2 linked regions of the Canis lupus familiaris genome follow. The protein of the gene in region 2 binds, or shares a complex with, the protein of the main gene of each other region. Links are inferred from orthologs where the notes say so. Each region holds a gene or a part of one and is shown on either strand. Other genes may lie near its edges. The genes, in order: DYDC1 and ROPN1L.

What was found.
Region 1: ROPN1L (region 2) and DYDC1 share a complex: the UniProt entries of both Homo sapiens proteins name them as parts of the axonemal radial spoke complex. The link is inferred for Canis lupus familiaris from reciprocal best matches to the Homo sapiens genes ROPN1L and DYDC1.

The regions. Positions count from the first base shown.
Region 1 is NC_049225.1:30,231,461-30,235,870, reverse strand, and holds the start of DYDC1 (DPY30 domain-containing protein 1), read left to right. Parts: upstream 1-1,563; 5' UTR 1,564-1,579; exon of another isoform or gene 1,580-1,735; intron 1,736-1,760; exon of another isoform or gene 1,761-1,912; intron 1,913-3,882; exon of another isoform or gene 3,883-4,023; intron 4,024-4,410. UniProt on the Homo sapiens protein: Functions as part of axonemal radial spoke complexes that play an important part in the motility of sperm and cilia. Plays a crucial role during acrosome biogenesis.
Region 2 is NC_049255.1:4,035,955-4,040,323, reverse strand, and holds the start of ROPN1L (ropporin-1-like protein), read left to right. Parts: upstream 1-1,490; 5' UTR 1,491-1,650; intron 1,651-1,801; 5' UTR 1,802-1,824; coding exon 1,825-1,955; intron 1,956-4,369. UniProt on the Homo sapiens protein: Functions as part of axonemal radial spoke complexes that play an important part in the motility of sperm and cilia. Important for male fertility.

The sequences.
Region 1 (4,410 bases), on a different chromosome or scaffold from region 2:
CATGGTATGCTTCTGTGAACCTGTGGCCCACCTGAACCAGTGCACTGGTATGAACAATCTTCTGCACCCCTTTCACTCAAAGTGTGGTCCCTGATGAGCAGCATCGCATTACCTTGTGGAAATGCACATTCTCAGGTCCCACCCCATACCTCCACAGTCAGAGTCTGCATTTTAACAAAATCCCCACGTGATTCAGTTAAAGATCTACTTTGCCTTTATGGCAGGAGAACCGCCCTTCCCAGGGAGCGGAATCCCCACTCTGCCACAAGCCTCTCCACTTTCCAGCCCCTGAGCGCCTGCTCTCCTGTGTAGGCCGCAAATCCTTTCTGGAGGAAGCATCTGCTCTAAATTGCACGTTTTCAACCATGGTCTCCATGAATTTTGGAGCCTGACGGTTTACTAAAACTTGATGCAAAGACAAGAGAGCCAGAATGACAGAGCCACAGCTCAGGGCCAGGAGAGGGAGGGGCCAAAGAGGTGCCTTTTGCAGCCCTCTCTCCACAAACTGAAGGGCACATTTAGCAGAGGAGAGGGGCCTAGTTTTCCTAGAGCTCCTCTGGGAGTCCTTCACACGCCCTCCCTGTTCACCGCCTAGCAACCCAGGAGGCAGGCTGGGAAGCACAGAGGTGGCCTTGCCACACCACACTCCCAGGGCTAGGCGCACGGTGGGTGCTCGCAAGTATTTTTTGACTTAATCTCCGAAGGCTCTGGCTTGCTGGCCAGGGCAAGAGCCTCCGCTCCTTCCCAGCTGTCAGCGCCCACTCTGGTACTCCTGGCCTTAACCGCCGGGGCTGAGGCCGCTCCTGCCCAGCACCGCCCAACACAGATTAATCCAGAACCTGGGAAATGCTAGCAGAGGGTTGTCCACAAAACACTAGGTCAGGGAAGACCTGCTGCGGTGGAGGCGGGGCCTTCTGGAGGCAGAAGCACCTGTGCTGGTCCCAAGAGGGGCCAGGCGGGGTCACCAGCAACCGCAAAGGTGCGGAGCCGGCAGGGGGCCATGGGACTTTCCCAGCCTGGGTGGGCAGGCGCCCTCTGCGGCCTGTCCCACGACCCCGCCGCCCCGGCCCTCCCAGTGCACACGGGCCTGCCCGCCTCTGGCTCCGTCCTCCCAGCCTGCAGGTCTCAGGCTCGGCTCCATCCTCCCAGCCTGCAGGTCGCAAGCTCAGCTCCGTCCTCCCTCCCGCAGGTTGCAGGCTCCGTCCTCCCAGCCCGCAGGTCTCAGGCTCGGCTCCATCCTCCCAGTCTGCACGTCGCAAGCTCAGCTCCGTCCTCCCTGCCCACCGGCTCCGTTCTATCCTCCCAGCCCGCAGGTTCTAGGCCCTGCTCCATCCTCCCAGCCCGCAGGCCGCAGGCCCTGCTCCGTCCTCTCTCCCGCAGGTGGCAGGTTCGGTCCTCCCTGCCCGCAGGTCGCAGGCCCCGCTCCGTCCTCCCTCCCGCAGGTCGCAGGCCCCGCCACACCCGCGCCCGGTCCTCCCCGCCGCCCGCCCGCCCCCCGCGCCCCTACCGCGTGCAGGGAGCCACCTGGGTCCGGGGCGCGCGCTCGTTGCCTAGCGACGGGACGCGCCTCGCGGGGCCGGTAGGTGCGCGCGTCGGGTGTGCGCATGCCCAGCGCGGACGCCCAGCGCCCCGCCCCGCGGCGGGTGCTTGGGGGGGCCCGCGGCAGCCGCGGGTGCGGCCTCGGCCTGGTGAGCGGGGAGGGGCCCCGGCGGCGCCCGGGCTGCCCGGCTGAGAGGTTAGTGCCGCGCCCTGGCAGCGCCGCCGCCTCCGGGCCCGCCCCGCCCGGTCCTCCGGGGCCACGCAGGGCGGAGGGGGAGGGGACGCGGAAGGCCCGAGACCCCTCTGCAGACCCAGGATGGGGAAACCATGCAGGCTCCCCAGGTCGGAGGGTGCCAGGTAAAGCCCGGCACAGGTGAGCTCCAGGTAGACGACGAACCAGCTGGCTTATGCTGCCCTGTGCTAAGCGTTACTCCCTGTTTCTCCAAAATTCATATTGACCCGGGCATCCTATATATATATATAGGATATAATGTATATATATTAGATTTTATTTATTTATTCATGAGATTGACACAGGCAGAGACACAGGCCGAGGGAGAAGTAGGCTCCCCGAGGAACGTCTGATGCGGGACTCGATCCCGCGACCCCAGGGTCACGCCCTGAGCCGAAGGCGGGTGCTCCACCACTGAGCCACCCAGGGGTCCCATCCGTATTATTTTGTGCCGCATCGGGCAACTCCACCCGAACCCCCTCCCCTCCCGCCAGGCTGGGCGGCCCCCCCCCGCTTGGGCAAGGGACCTCTTTGTATCTCTTGTTCGGCCTCTCCAGGCTTGAGGGAGCCGTGTCTCTGCGAAAGGCCTTTCTTACCTGGAGCCGAGATGAGATGCCTGTTAGTGTGTCTGAAAAATAACAACCTGTGAGTTGGGTTTTATCACCATTTCGTGGACAGGAAACCAGGGAAGCCAAGTAAGGAGCTTCCTGGGCTCTGCTATCCCGTGCCCAGGAGGATTCGGGATCAGATTCTACTCCTAGCCCAGAAGTTTCTCCCTTGGGGACATGGTCCCTTTCCCGAGTATTATCCTTCTGGAACAGCAGCACGAATCTGTTCTTTCTTTTATGTTTCAAGTGACATTGAGATGTCACTGTCGTCATTTTTGTCTTTTTGAGTGTGTCGCGTCGAAGAAGCACAGTGAGGATGCTGCGTCTCACACTCGCTGATACTGTAATTCTTCTCTCCGTGTGGTGAAGACACCAACGCCAGCTTGAAAGGGAATTCGGTTCATTCGTGCCAGTTTGCAGAGCTTAAGTTTTTATGACCACGTTTATGGGCACACATACACACATTCCTTTCCCCACTGCTTTCAACAAAAGAGGTGGCTTACTCTATAAACAATTTCTGCACCTTTTTAATTCACTTTGCACCGTGTCCTAGAGATCACTCCCTATTTTAAAGATCTTCCTCGTGCCTTTTATATGATATATATGCACCGTCATCCATCGTGTTGCTGTGTCTCATCAGTCCCTTAATGATGAGCTTTTGGATGAGGCTCCAGTTTGACTGTTCTAAGTAATGGAGCAAAATAACCACATGCACATATCATCGCTCCATATTTTTGCAAGTTAAGATCCGACAAGTGAGATCAATGGTTTAAAGGGTAAATACTTACGTAATTTTCTAGATACTGCCAAATTCCTCTGCGCAGGGGTTATACCATTTTGTACCCTCACCATCGTCAAATGAGAGAGAGCACTTTGGGGATTGAAGGATGAACCTCAGGAGGTTGTTGTTTCTGAAATTTTATGCAGAACATTTGGTGCATTTGTCCAGGGACAGGCCTAGACATGCTGGCATTCTGTTCTCTCATGTTCAGCTCATACCTGACCAATGATGCGTATAGTATATATTTACTGAATGATGAAGACATTTCATTAGATTCTTAGAAGTGACTGGTTTCCATAAGGGTAATTTGAGAGTGATAGTTTTTTTTCAAAGCACCGGAAGTACAGTGTTTGCTATATTCTTTCCTCCCTGCCTCCTTCCTTCTTTCCTTCCTTCCCTCCCTCCTTCCTTCTTTTCCTTCCTTCCTTCCTTCCTTCCTTCCTTCCTTCCTTCCTTCCTTCCTTCCTTCCTTCTTTCCCTCTTTCCCTCCCTCCCTCTCCTTCCTTATTTCCCTCCTTCCCTCCCTCCTTCCCTCCCTTCCTCTCCTTCCTTCTTTCCTTCCTTCCCTCCCTCTCTCCTTCCTTCCTTCCTTCCTTCCTTCCTTCCTTCCTTCCTTCCTTCCTTCCTTCCTTCCTTCCTTCCTTCCTGTCTGGTCTAAGATTGTTCCTGTCCACCTTCATAACTGCATAGACTGGGACATTACTGGGAGGATGGAGGAAGTCATTCACGTGCCTCCACGGAGAGCCAGCACGCCTGCCCTGTGATTAAAACACACTCCTTGAGGAGCTGGAGGAGCTTGTCTTCTAGCAGGAGGACAGACATGTGTGTACACACACGATCTCGGCGTGCATGACAAGTGCTGTGTGAGTCGCTTGGAGAAGGTGGGGCTTCTTTGCGTTGCTTGGGAAAGTCCAGGGAATGAGAGAGGGCCAGCATCTTGCAGGCGAGGAGATGTTTCCTCAGCTGGGAGATAGAGAGAAAGCGTTATGGGCAGAAGTCTTGGAGATGGCGGTGTGCAAGGCGTGGCTGTCAGGATGGCAGACTGCTGAGGGTTGTCAGAGCCCAGGATATGCTGGCGGCAGGGGAGAGGTCTGGGGTGAGCCTGAGAAGAAATTGGGGCCAGGGGATCCCTGGGTGGCTCAGCGGTTTAGCACCTGCCTTTGGCCTAGGGTGTGATCCTGGAGTCCTGGGATCGAGTCCCACGTCGGGCTCCTGGCATGAGCCTGCCTCTCCCTCTGCCTGTGTCTCTG
Region 2 (4,369 bases):
CACCCAGGGATCCCTTCAAGAGATTTTTTTAAAACTATGTTGGGATTATTACTATATTTCAGAACAGTTCTTAGGACATACTTAACATTCAGTAAATACACTTGAGTAAATGAATGGATGGATCAGAATCAAAATAATGTGTATGTGGTAAAAACAAAACCATGTGCCATTCTCCAGAGGTAACCACAGTCAGTAGTTTAGTGTTTGCTCCCAGAATGTGCAACAGGTAAATGTATATTCACAGACTCTGCTCTGTTAGGTGCTTTTTTTCACTTCATATTTCGTGAACATCTTTTTATGTCAATACCTAAGTAGCTATCTTATTTTAAAATTCTGGCTGAATTATTTTCTGTTGTGTGGCTAAGATTATGATTTAAAATGTTCTGAAAGAATTAGTTTACCAATTTTATTATGTGCTTTACTAAACATTTTGGTCCATATTACTTTATATACTCAGGCTAGTATTTCTATAGGATAAATCTATAGATTGCTAAGTCATCAAAATACAGTGCCAAATGGCCCCCAGAATGTACTAATTAACACCTCTGTCATCATTGTAGGAGATTCCTTGTTTTTCCATTTTGCATCAACACTAAATAGTGACTTTTCAGTTTTTGCTAGTGTGCCGTTAATTTGGAAATGTGTCCCCTGGTGGGGGAGTAATGGATGGGGGTGATACCTCTAGGGCAGGAGGAAGGGTTTGTCATTGACGACTCCTGGAAATAGCCGGGTCTAGGTCTCCATCTTTCTGGCTAGAAGTGAGCAGGGGAAGGCAGGTGGGTAGCCACAGCTCTGATTCACACCTTGTATGCTGCCCTGGTCAGGATTCACCAGAACCGAGTAGCTCTCCTATCCTTTGACCCAAAGTTCATGTATCCGAAGACAGTTTATGTCCTTCTAGACCCAATCAGCCTCAATCATTGTCTTGAGCTGAAAATCGCCCCGTCTAAACTCTTGAAGTGGCTCTTAAATCGGAAGGCCTGGGCAGTGAGAACAGCGCGAGTGAAGGTCTGAAGGCCTGGACGGCTTGGACAGGGTGTTAGACGGTGGCTTGGCGCGGACCGGATGGCAGACGGGGGCTCGGTTTGCACGCGGTGCAGATGGTTTGGACGTGGGGCAGGCGGGCATCGTGCAGCCTGAGCGAGACCCGGGAGGACGGCGAGGGGCAGGTTCCTTCGCGCGGGGGCGCTCGTGCTCCCTGCGCCGACCGGCCCCGCGGCCGTGACGCCTTCCTTCCGAGGACGACCGAGCCCCCTAGTCCTTAAGCCTCACGTAGCCAGAGCAAGGGAAAGGGTGTGTGTGTGGGGGGGGGGGGGGGGGCTTGTGAATTCTCCCTTCACATCGCAATGGGAAATCGATCAAATGATCTAAGTGAAACGTTCAGCGAAAGGCAAAAAAAGGCCAGAGCCAGACTGCGCAAGCGCAGTGCCTGCCCCGAGCCGAGCCGAGCCGAGCCGAGCCGAGCCGAGCCGAGCCGAGCCGAGCCGAGCCGAGCCGAGCCGAGCCGAGCCGAGGGGCGGGGCCCGCGGGCGTCCCGGTTGCCTGGATACTCCGCGAAACAATCGCTGCCGCGGGCGCTTTCGGGCGGTCGCGGGGAGGGGCAGTTGGTCCTCACTTTCCGCGGAGCCCCAGGAGCCCGAGGAGGAGCGGGTGAGGCCCCCGGCCGGCCGCCCGGACCTCGCGAAGCCGGCCTCCTGGCCGCCCCCGGTCCCCCCGCCGGGCTCCAAATCCGGGGGAGGCAGGGCAGCCCGAGGCCCACGGGTTCGCCCTCCTCCACGCAGCCCATCTTGATTCTTCCCAGCCTGGTCCGGTCCGCGGAGAGCGATGCCGCTGCCCGACACCATGTTCTGCGCGCAGCAGATCCAGATTCCGCCGGAGCTGCCGGACATCCTGAAGCAGTTCACCAAGGCTGCGATCCGCACCCAGCCCGCCGATGTGCTGCAGTGGTCCGCGGGGTAAGCGCCTCGGTGGCCGCCGGCCGGTCTGCGAGCCGGGTCGTGCCCCTGGCCCTCCCGCCTGCAGCCCCGGTGCGACGCGCGGGTGGTGTCTGCACCTGAGGACCTGTCTAGGAACCATCCCGGTTGATTGAGTTTCCCAGCAGTCGCTGCCAAATGCTCCCTTTCCTGCAAAGGCATGACAGCTCCACTGTTGGAGACTGGTACTTGCTCAGACCGAAACTTAAAAAGCGATTGCATTCGGTAAAAAGTTTCTGCATTGTGTGATAAAATCAAACTACTCCACTCCCTTTATTTTATTTGTGAAATGGTTTTTTACAAGGTTTCTTGTAAGGCTAAGCTGCTCATTCTGGAGAATCCTCCCACCCTGTTGAGTTTTTTTTTTTTTTTTTTTAAGATTTTTCAAAAATTCATTTATTCGGGGGCGGTGGGGAGGCGCGGAGACACAGGCAGAGGGAGAAGCAAGCTCATGCAGGGAGCCCGACGTGGGACTCCAGGATCATGCCCTGGGCTGCAGGCGGCGCTAAGTTTCTTAGATCAAAGCCCCCGAGGTCATGTTGGGGTAATTATCCCAATGCTGCAATAAGGTTAAACTTTGCTCAACTTAGTTCCCAGAAGGCAAATAAGCCTTCACCCTTTCTTGCAGCATTGTAGCTATTTTCAGGAATGGTCATAGTTTCAAAGTTACAAAGTTAACAGGCCTTAGAACCTTTAAAGTAAACCCATTAGGTTTCGAAAGGAAAGCTCTTTGCCTCTCTTCAGTAGACAGACTTAGAAACTCAATTTTATGATTACAAGAACCAGTATAAAATTAAATGTTTTGGGGCACCTGAGTAGTTCGGTAATTAAGCGTGTTCTTTTGGCAGGTCATGATCTCAGGGGCCTGGGATCCAGCCCCAGGTGGTGCTGCTTGTTCAGCAGAATCTGCTTCTCCCTTTGTCTCTGCTCCTCCCCCTGTTCATGCGCGCTCTCTCTCTCTCTCTCTCTCTCAAATAAGTAAAATCTTTTTTAAAAATTAAATGTTTTAGTAACTAGCATGTCAGATTTCACTGACCTCTAAATGGTATAAATAACCAAGGTGAGTTAGTTTCCTTTGGCCACTATAACAAATAACCACAGATTTTGATGGATTAAACAACAGGCATGTATTGTCTTATTGTTCTGGAGGCTGAAAGTCCAAAATCCGTTTCACCTAGCTAAAGTCAAATTGTCAGAGGCCCTACGGAGAATCGAATCGCTTGCTTGCTTGCCTTTTCCCGCTTTTGGAGCTGCATTCTTTGTGTTCTTTGGCTCATGGCCCCTTCCTCCATCTTTAAAGCTGATGCATTTAGGACCCATCAAGATAATTCAGGATAATTTTTCTACCTCAGAATCCTCTCTCACATCTATACAGTTCCTGTCACCATGCAAAATAAGATACACAGCTTCCAGGATTAGGGGCCCTTAGTGAACCCACCACAAGGCTACTTATTAATCCAGTGCTTCACCTTGTGACAGGCACTTCTGTCAGTTGCTTCTGCAAGATTCTCTCAAGGGTCTTGCCCAAAAAAATCATGGCCTCTGGTTTTAACCGTCATTCAAGCATCAATGAAAGGACGCACAAGCGTCCTTTGTACTTGTACTTAACAGAACATTTGTTCTGTACAATAACATTTATTATTTGTACTTAACAGAACATTCCGAGATTAAATCATTTTCTTTCTTGGGACTTTAAATTATTTTAATTTAAGCTTCACTTTAATTTAAAAGGCATAATTGAGAACTTTCTGGATGTTCCATGCAACTAATTTTCTCTCAACAATTTTGGAGCTTAGGAGGAAAAGCAGGCGTCATTCACTAAGTGGTGCGTGTGAAATGGGCTTGTATGAATCCCAGCTGTCGCAGCATCTGTTGGGGTGAGAGGTTGCTCAGAAGAGGGCGAATTGCTCTTTGAGGTTAAGACAAGGCTAGGGCATTCCGGGGAGAGGAACAGCATACGAACAAAGGAGAGGTGACAAGAAGAAAAACAAAAAAGCTAAAAACAAAGCAGAGAACCAGGAATCACAGGTGGGTACCTGCTGGGGAAGATGCACAAGCAAGGCTTTCAGGTGCACAGGTCCATCAGCCTGGCCCCCAGCTTGATGCGGCCACTAGGGGACCGTCTGTGTTCTGTCACCAGTGCCCCACGCAGGGTGCCCCTCTCAGGGTGCCCCGCGCAGGGTGCCCCGCACAGGGTGACGGGGGGGGGGGGGTGTGTGTGTGTGTGAGAATTGGTCCAGTGCTAGAGGCTGCTTTCTGCTCGCATGTGCCTCCAGGGACTAGCACCGGGAGGCTTGACCCTCTTGCAGACTCTCAGCCTTGGCCCTGTTGAGCCCATGACAGGATAATGGCTGGGGAGTGTGGGGGTATGCGGGTGTCTGGGCAGTAGGACCCTG